Diceros bicornis minor: one gene and its partner. The main gene of each other region encodes a partner of the protein of the gene in region 2 in a complex. Links are inferred from orthologs where the notes say so. Each region holds a gene or a part of one and is shown on either strand. Other genes may lie near its edges.

The links. The genes of interacting proteins can lie anywhere in the genome.
Region 1: GINS1 (region 2) and MCM3 share a complex: the UniProt entries of both Homo sapiens proteins name them as parts of the CMG helicase complex. The link is inferred for Diceros bicornis minor from reciprocal best matches to the Homo sapiens genes GINS1 and MCM3.

The regions. Positions count from the first base shown.
Region 1 is NC_080753.1:14,602,045-14,605,791, reverse strand, and holds the start of MCM3 (DNA replication licensing factor MCM3), read right to left. Parts: upstream 2,396-3,747; 5' UTR 2,337-2,395; coding exon 2,259-2,336; intron 1,231-2,258; coding exon 1,118-1,230; intron 683-1,117; coding exon 474-682; intron 1-473. UniProt on the Homo sapiens protein: Acts as a component of the MCM2-7 complex (MCM complex) which is the replicative helicase essential for 'once per cell cycle' DNA replication initiation and elongation in eukaryotic cells.
Region 2 is NC_080758.1:51,386,299-51,390,045, reverse strand, and holds the start of GINS1 (DNA replication complex GINS protein PSF1), read right to left. Parts: upstream 2,418-3,747; 5' UTR 2,312-2,417; coding exon 2,237-2,311; intron 2,095-2,236; exon of another isoform or gene 1,138-2,094; intron 1-1,137. UniProt on the Homo sapiens protein: Required for correct functioning of the GINS complex, a complex that plays an essential role in the initiation of DNA replication, and progression of DNA replication forks.

The DNA of each region.
Region 1 (3,747 bases), on a different chromosome or scaffold from region 2:
TGAAGTCATCCAACTAGACGGTTACAGAGGTGGGATCTGGCCCAGGCAAGCCTACAATGACTCCAAATACTGTATTCTTCCGTCTAGTTTAAGCTATTTCAATAATACTTGTCATTTATTCATTTTTATATTTACATATAGAACATTACCAGGTCCATGTAAAACTTTAAGTACAACCGATCCCAACTGAGAAACAGCAGGAGTTCAGGGTTAGAATGAGAAGACTGCCAAAAGCCAAGACTCCTCCACTCTCAGTAGAACTCATCATTCTGTTAGCACAGGCAGTCACTCAAGTCCCCCTAATCATTGTGGCCACTCAGAGCTCCTCCGAGTTTCACTCTGTAATTTCAACGCTCCTCCTTTCTGAAGCTGTGTAGCATAAGCTACACAGCTCTACTCCACCTCTCCTGCTTTCCCACACCCCCAACTCTATCCCACCTCCATTCCCTTAGACCCCACTTTAACCCACTCACACTTAGTGACAATGCCCTCCACACAGACTACACAGCTCAGGAAGCAGGAGGTAAGAGTCCGGGGAGATACGTGCTTGGAGCCAAAGCTGCCCTCCAATCCAATGTAGAACTCCTCATACTGCTTGGCATAGGTAGCATCAATGGAGGCCACAAAATCCTTTAAGGCCCGCTGGAAAGCAACCAGCTCCTCAAAGGCATTGCTCAGGAGGCTAAACATGAGCAAGAGAAAGAATAATTAGGCGGAGATGGCAGAGCTCAAAAAAACTGACCCTCAAAACAGAAGTGAACATTCTTAGGTGATCAAGGCCAAGGAGTGAAAAATGTAGCTCCTACTTTCTCCTGCCATCCTACAAGACTCAGTAAAACAGACCAGAACCAAGGGCCAACTTGAATTCAACTCATCAAAGATTTAGAAATGATACTCAGCTAAACACGGAAGAAGGAGCTCTTGAGAGGAAAATGCCCACCACCTACTTTTGGAAGAAGATAAAAACATAGGAACAGGTGAGGAAAAGAGGGCTCCTAAGCCAAAAACATTTCATCCAGGTCCTTTCCTGGGAAGCCTGTTCCACTCTGGGGGGAGAGAGAAGGGAGCCATTCTCACCCAGAGCCAGGACATCCCCTTGGAAACCTTTGCCACTCACCGGTTAGCCCTCTTCTCATTTTTCCTGCGCAGGTCATTCACGTTGACAATCAACCGGGCTTGGTTGTCACTAATCAGCTCCCGAACTTTGCTCTGATAAATTCCCTGGTCTTCCTGCAAAATAGCCACCACATATAACAGCAGCCACACATTCAAAAATAAGATGTTTTTAAACAGAGGCAACTCTCGCAGCAAGATAAATAAGTCAATCTCCGCGGCAGAGCAGAACCCCAATTTCTCCCATATTTTCACTCACTAGCTTCAGATTCCAAACACACCCTAAGAGGACAGCGTAGGAATTATAATGACTTCCTTAAAGTCCATGCTATTATTCCTTTTATCATTATCGGCTTTTCTGTATGTAGTCATTTCTCAACCTTTAATGGGCAATTAAAACGAACTAATAAGAAGGACAGTAAGTAAGAAGCTTGTTAAAATGTTAATAAACGGGCTTTTAATATTCACATTAAAATGACTTTTAAGACATGTACAGAATTAAAATATTTTATTTTCCAATCATGTATATAATACAGAAAGAGTTCTCATATCCAGACCTAAAGGAGTTGGGAGCCTCAGCTATTTGTTTACAGACACAGCATTATCAACTCTTCAAGATGCTTTACCAACATTCTATGGCTTTCAAACTGGGTTGTGCACAAAACCCCCTTTACCTGCATACCAGACACTTTCTGCATCTCACCTGGTACTGAAAAAGAACGCGGCCAAATTAGGAAGTCAGTCACTAAAACCTGGGGACCCTGAAACGCGGCGGGTCACCACCGCTCTACAGCCCTACCTCCCCCTCCCTCCCTCCAAATTATGAGAGCAGGGAGCGACTTCTAAAAGGTCAAAGGGAGCTTTGCCATTTTATTTTTGCGAGCCCCGGCCATCATCTGTACTTGGGAGAAAGTCACAGGACCGCTCTCTAAGAGTTCCCCTACGGAAAACCGCTAACGACTGACTCCTCCGCTGGAACAGTGACCAGCTCGGGGTGGAGGGCTCCTGAGCCGAGTCCCGGCGGTCCTCCCGCTCCCGGCCCTGCGGCTCTGGCGTGGAGCGGCGTCCTGCGTGGCCTCCCTCGGCCCGTCCGCGTCCCCAAGGGCCCCAAGCGCCAGAGTCTCGCGACCCGGCGCCTCGCTCACCTCGTCATCCAAGAAGTCCAAGTAATCTCGCTGCGCCTCCCGCAGCTCCACATCGTCCAGCACCACGGTCCCCGCCATGCTTGCCGCCTCGGAACTGCCTCCTCCAGAGCCGCGCGGAGGGTCCCTGGATGACCCCGCCCCGGCGCGAAAACTTCCGAGCTTTTCCCGCCACCAGGGGTTACCTCGAGGAAGGGGCGGGGGCTCTGGAAGCGTATAAACATTCTGATTGGCTGACTCCTCTGACGCCAGAATAGTGAGTATCCAATCGAGAGCTGCTGCTGCTTCGCGTTTTCCGATCTGCGCCCCGCTGTGGCGGGAAATGTGCCATCCGGGGCCTTCTGTTTCTCCCCTCCCCGCTCCGCCCTCACTGACGGGAGAGCTGACCAATGGGGCCGAAGGGAGGCTCGCGGAGCCTGATCATTGGGCGGCCCAAGGCGCCGGATGCATTCTGGGAGTCGTAGTCTTGATATTCTGTCCCCTGACCTGCCGCAGAGTGAATGAACTCAGCGCGGCGGTTGTACTGAGAACAGGCTGAAAGTCAGAGAATGGGGGTTCATAATGCAGGGAGATGAAAACATAAAAGCAATTTTATTTTAAAATATATTCAGATCTGGCGTGCTAGATATGTTTCTCAAGCAACTATCCTCAACTGGCCTCCAGGGGAAAAAAAGTGAATTTTGACAATCCGTGGAATGGAAAATAGAATCCTAGCTTCTTTGGGAAGGGTTGTTTAGTTCAGCGACCCATTTGCTCTCTGAATACTGTTGCCTGAAGTACCCCATAAAAATATCAGACCGCGGAGGAGGGTGAAGTGAAAAAAATTTTCGGCATGTACCCCGCCCCCTAGAGATGGCCTCATGTGTTGAACAAACTTTGCACAAAATTACTGCACCATCTTACTTGCAGATGGGTAAGTTAAAGGCTTTCTCGCCTTGTAGGAAGATCACAGGACCTTTTTTAAAAACTTAGTTTATTGAAAGACAAACACAAGGAGAAACAAAAAAAGTGTTTCAAGCCACTCCAGTATCAATCAGTAATTAAGATATAGCAAATCTGAAATTATAAATAATTAAGAGATAAATTGCATGTCCAAGTGTTTTTTTGCTTGCTTTTAGTCTTTTGTGGTTTGTTTAGATTTTTTAGTTTCATTTTTGAGGTATAATTTATATACAGTAAAATGCACAAATCTTAAGGGTGCAGCTCAATGAATTTTTATTATGTATACATCCATGTAACCACCCGGTGCACAATAAAGAACAGTCTCACTGCCCCAGCGTGTGTTTTTGATTTTACTGAATGGGAAGCTAAAATACCAGATTGCCTAATACTAGACACCTGGTAATTCTACAGCAGAAATTGCGGCCAACTAATTATTAGTTTATGTTCAAAGGTCTCTAGGACTCACTGTGCCCTGATAAATATTCTCAGTATAATCTACCTAAACAAAACATATATGCCATCTATTTGTACGTGTATATATATTTTTAGT
Region 2 (3,747 bases):
CTTCTAAGTTCCATCCCTGGCTCCCCAAAAGCAGTAAACCAACACTTATCTTAAAATTTGAGTGAGAAGGCCAGCTGGACTAAGAGTCTTAAGAGCCGGTTCCAAGGCCACCTCAGCCAGCACCTGTTGGAGAAGTCTCTGCCTCTCTGGGCTTGTTTCCTCATGTGCATCATGAACTCCAAAGTGCCTAGTTGTCCGGACCCCAGCGTGGAGCCATATTTTAGAGCCTACATACCTCTGCATTCCAGCATCTCTACTAAACTCCCACTGTTGTCTCCTGACTTTTTAAATGAGGTAACTGTCCTGAAGTTGAAAGAACAACAGACTAGAATCTAGGAAACCTGTGTTCAAGTTGAGGCTCTTCCTCCAATATGCTGTAAGTTCAGACAAGTACCTTAACTTGATCCATAATTTCTGTTGGCTCAGTTTTCTCATCTGTAAAATGACCTAATTGTCAGACTAGGTGCCCTTTAATGTTCAAAACAAAACTCACCCTCCCCCGAACACTCTTCCTCCTCAACTCCAATGTGGTTTACTCAGCCACCTGAGAGAAGCGCCTCCCAAAATCCCGATTCCTCCTCCTCACTGATTACTCACCCCATCTCCACTTCTGTTCTAATAGTTAGAAGTCTTGTTTGTCTCAAGCCCATACAGGCCAGACACCGATTTCAGGGCCCACTGACCAGACACAGTTTGGACCATACACATCTATCATCTGGTCTATTTTAACCACCCACTAACGATCTCCCTGCCTCCATTCTTTCTTCTCTCCAATCCATTCCCCATATTGCTGCTGCTATAGTTATCCTCAAAACATAAAAAATTACCCTCTCACTCCCCTGTCTAAAATCCTCTGCCAGCTTCCAAATGCCTTATGAGTGAATACCAAACTCTCCCAGGCCTGGAACCCACCTCTGTAGTCCCTGCACACACCCTGTCTTTCAGTCACCCTTTGCTATGTGATTGCCCGTCTCTGCACTTGGCTGGGACGCCTCACTCCCTTCTCAGAGTGGTGACCTCATCCTTCTAGGCATGGCTCAAACGCCCCCTCCTGTACCCTAGCTCACACTGGCATTTCTCCTTTGTGCTCCTTTTCTACACCTCTTCGGCATCACCTATCACATTACATTCTATTACCTGTTTTCGTGCCCCACTCCCAGCACAATGTGCCCTGGCATCCACACTGTGGCTGCCCTATGACGGGGGATGTAGTCAAGTATAGAACCTAGAGTTCAGGCTCTGGAGCCAAACTGCCAGGGTTTAAATCTGAGCTTTACTTCTTACTGGCTGTGTCACTTAATCTCCCCAAGCTTCCAACAGATAGCTGGAAAAAAATGGAAAATAAAAGATGGTTTAGACTTCAAAGGGTTACCATGAGAACAAGAGATAATATAGGTTACAGTGATGTATGATAATTAGTCTTTGGGTGGTGACCATGATGCACTCCATACAGAAATGGAAATATAACGAGGTGCACCTGAAATTTACATAATGTTATAAATCAATGTTACTTCAATTAAAAAAAAGAAAAAAAGAGAGATAATGTAGGTCAAGCGCTCAGCACCCTGACTGGGGTAGCAGTAACAGGGAAATAAGAATAATCATAAGAGCAGTAGGAGTAGCAGCAGCAGTGGCAGAAAGAAAATTAATAGCAAGCACTGACTTAGCCGTTCCTGGGTGTCAAGCATTGTTCAGAAAGCCTGACATACACCAACTCATCAGCCCTCAGCATACCAGGAGTTGGGTACTATTCCCATCGGCCCCATTTCTGCAGAGACGAAAACAGCACAGAAAGCTTGAGTAACTCGCCCAAAGCCACACGATGGAGCCAGAATCCCAGCCTGGCTCCACAGGCCTAGCTTTCAATCACCACCCTTTGCTGCCCGAGTGCACGACAAATGCTAGAGCACAGGCAACTACTAATCAATGCTTGGTGCAACAAAGGAACAGCAGCAGAGCTGCACACCGGAGAACACTAAGGGAGACATAGGAGGAAATTCACAATATCGCCGGGTGACATAAACATTAGTGCTTTCTTTTTCCTCCTATACTTTGTCTTGCCACGTTCCAAAACTTCTGTCCCCCGACTTTGGAGCTTACACCACGAGAAAGTAAACCCTCCGGGTAAGGCGCAAGGAAGAACCGCGGGAAGCCGCCCCGCCCCCGGTCCCGCCCCCGGGGCTTCCAGGCCCCGCCAGCCAGCACGCCCATCTTTGTCTGCCCCTGCCCCCCTCACGTTGAAGGCGGGCAGCTGCCCTTCGGGTGTGCGATGCAGCTCGCGGACCAGCTCCATGGCCTTTTCGCAGAACATGGCGGACGCGCCCCGGTCCCGCGGCCTTGTGAGCCGCCCACTCTCACGACAAACGGTCCCCGGGCTCTCGGCCGCCGCTCTCGGCTCCTATCTTTCCCGGTCCCACAGCTCCTGATCCTCGCTTCCCCTCCGCGTTTTGGCGCCAAGCCTGGCCAGCCAATAGGAACGCACTGATGGGCGTCGCGGCCTACGGCGGCGGCAAAGGGACATTTGACTCCACTGCCCAGCTGCTTCAAGACGGGCAGAGTCCTGGGTGGAGGTCCTTTGCTGGGGATGGCCCCCGCGTGTGGGGAGAGCCGGCGGGCCTGGGTCCGCAGGCTGAGTAGACTTCTTCGAGTTCCCAGGAGGGTAACCAGGCAACTCTGCGCGCACCACGGCTCGGGAGAAATGCAGGCCCCGCAACTTCCTTTTTCCATTTGAGTCATTCCTTTTCGTTTAGGTTCCAAGGGTTGCGCACTTTGAGGTTCAGAAGGCAGGCCCGGGAACTTGGTGTGCATTCACGTTATGACGCAGCGTTTCGTTCGTTAGTTTTGCAGTGTGAGTTTTTCGTTTGATAGATAGTAATGGGAAACCAAGTTTTATTGGGTATTTCTTGTGTGGCAGGGACTGGGACTTCTATTTCATTTAATTCTCAGGATTAACCCTAAGGTGGTCATTAAGTCTCTTGGAACGGATTAGGAAACAAGTTATGGGCCGCCCCGTGGCTTAGCGGTTAAGTGCGCGCGCTCTGTCGCTGATGGCCTGGGTTCAGATCCTGGGCGCTCACCAACGCACCGCTTCTCCGGCCATGCTGAGGCCGCGTCCCACATACAGCAACTAGAAGGATGTGCAGCTGTGACATACAACTGTCTACTGGGGCTTTGGGGGAAATAAATAAATAAATAAATAGAAGTCACTTCTTAAAAAAAAAAAAAAGGGAAACAAGTTAGATAATTTGCCCGAGGTCTCACAGCTCATCAAGTGACAGACCCTGTATTTAAGCTTTCAACTCCACAGTACCACCTTTGATTTTAAAAGAAGTCATTTAAAAACATTTGTAAAATAGCTCCAGTCACAAGGTCTATGAAGGGGGAAAAATGCCCCAGATTAACACGCATTCACATAGCCATATACTTGCCTAAATGATTATGGAAATTTTCATAACTATATAGAATCGAAGGTGGGAATTACTGCTATAGAAACAATTCGTTTTATTTGGATATTTTTTAAAAAGCAATATTACTTGGATTCATTCTAGCTAACCCTAGACACTGTGTCCCTCTTCTGCAAATATAGATACAGTAGATGTGTGATCTGAGACGTGAGCATGGGAATGGCCTACAATGCTTCAATCATCCTTAAGTTGAGTGACATTTCATTTTCAGCTCTACGTTAAGAGATAATTTAGCTAAGTGTTTTCATTAAAGATACAATTCTCTAGTGGACTGTGCTACAGT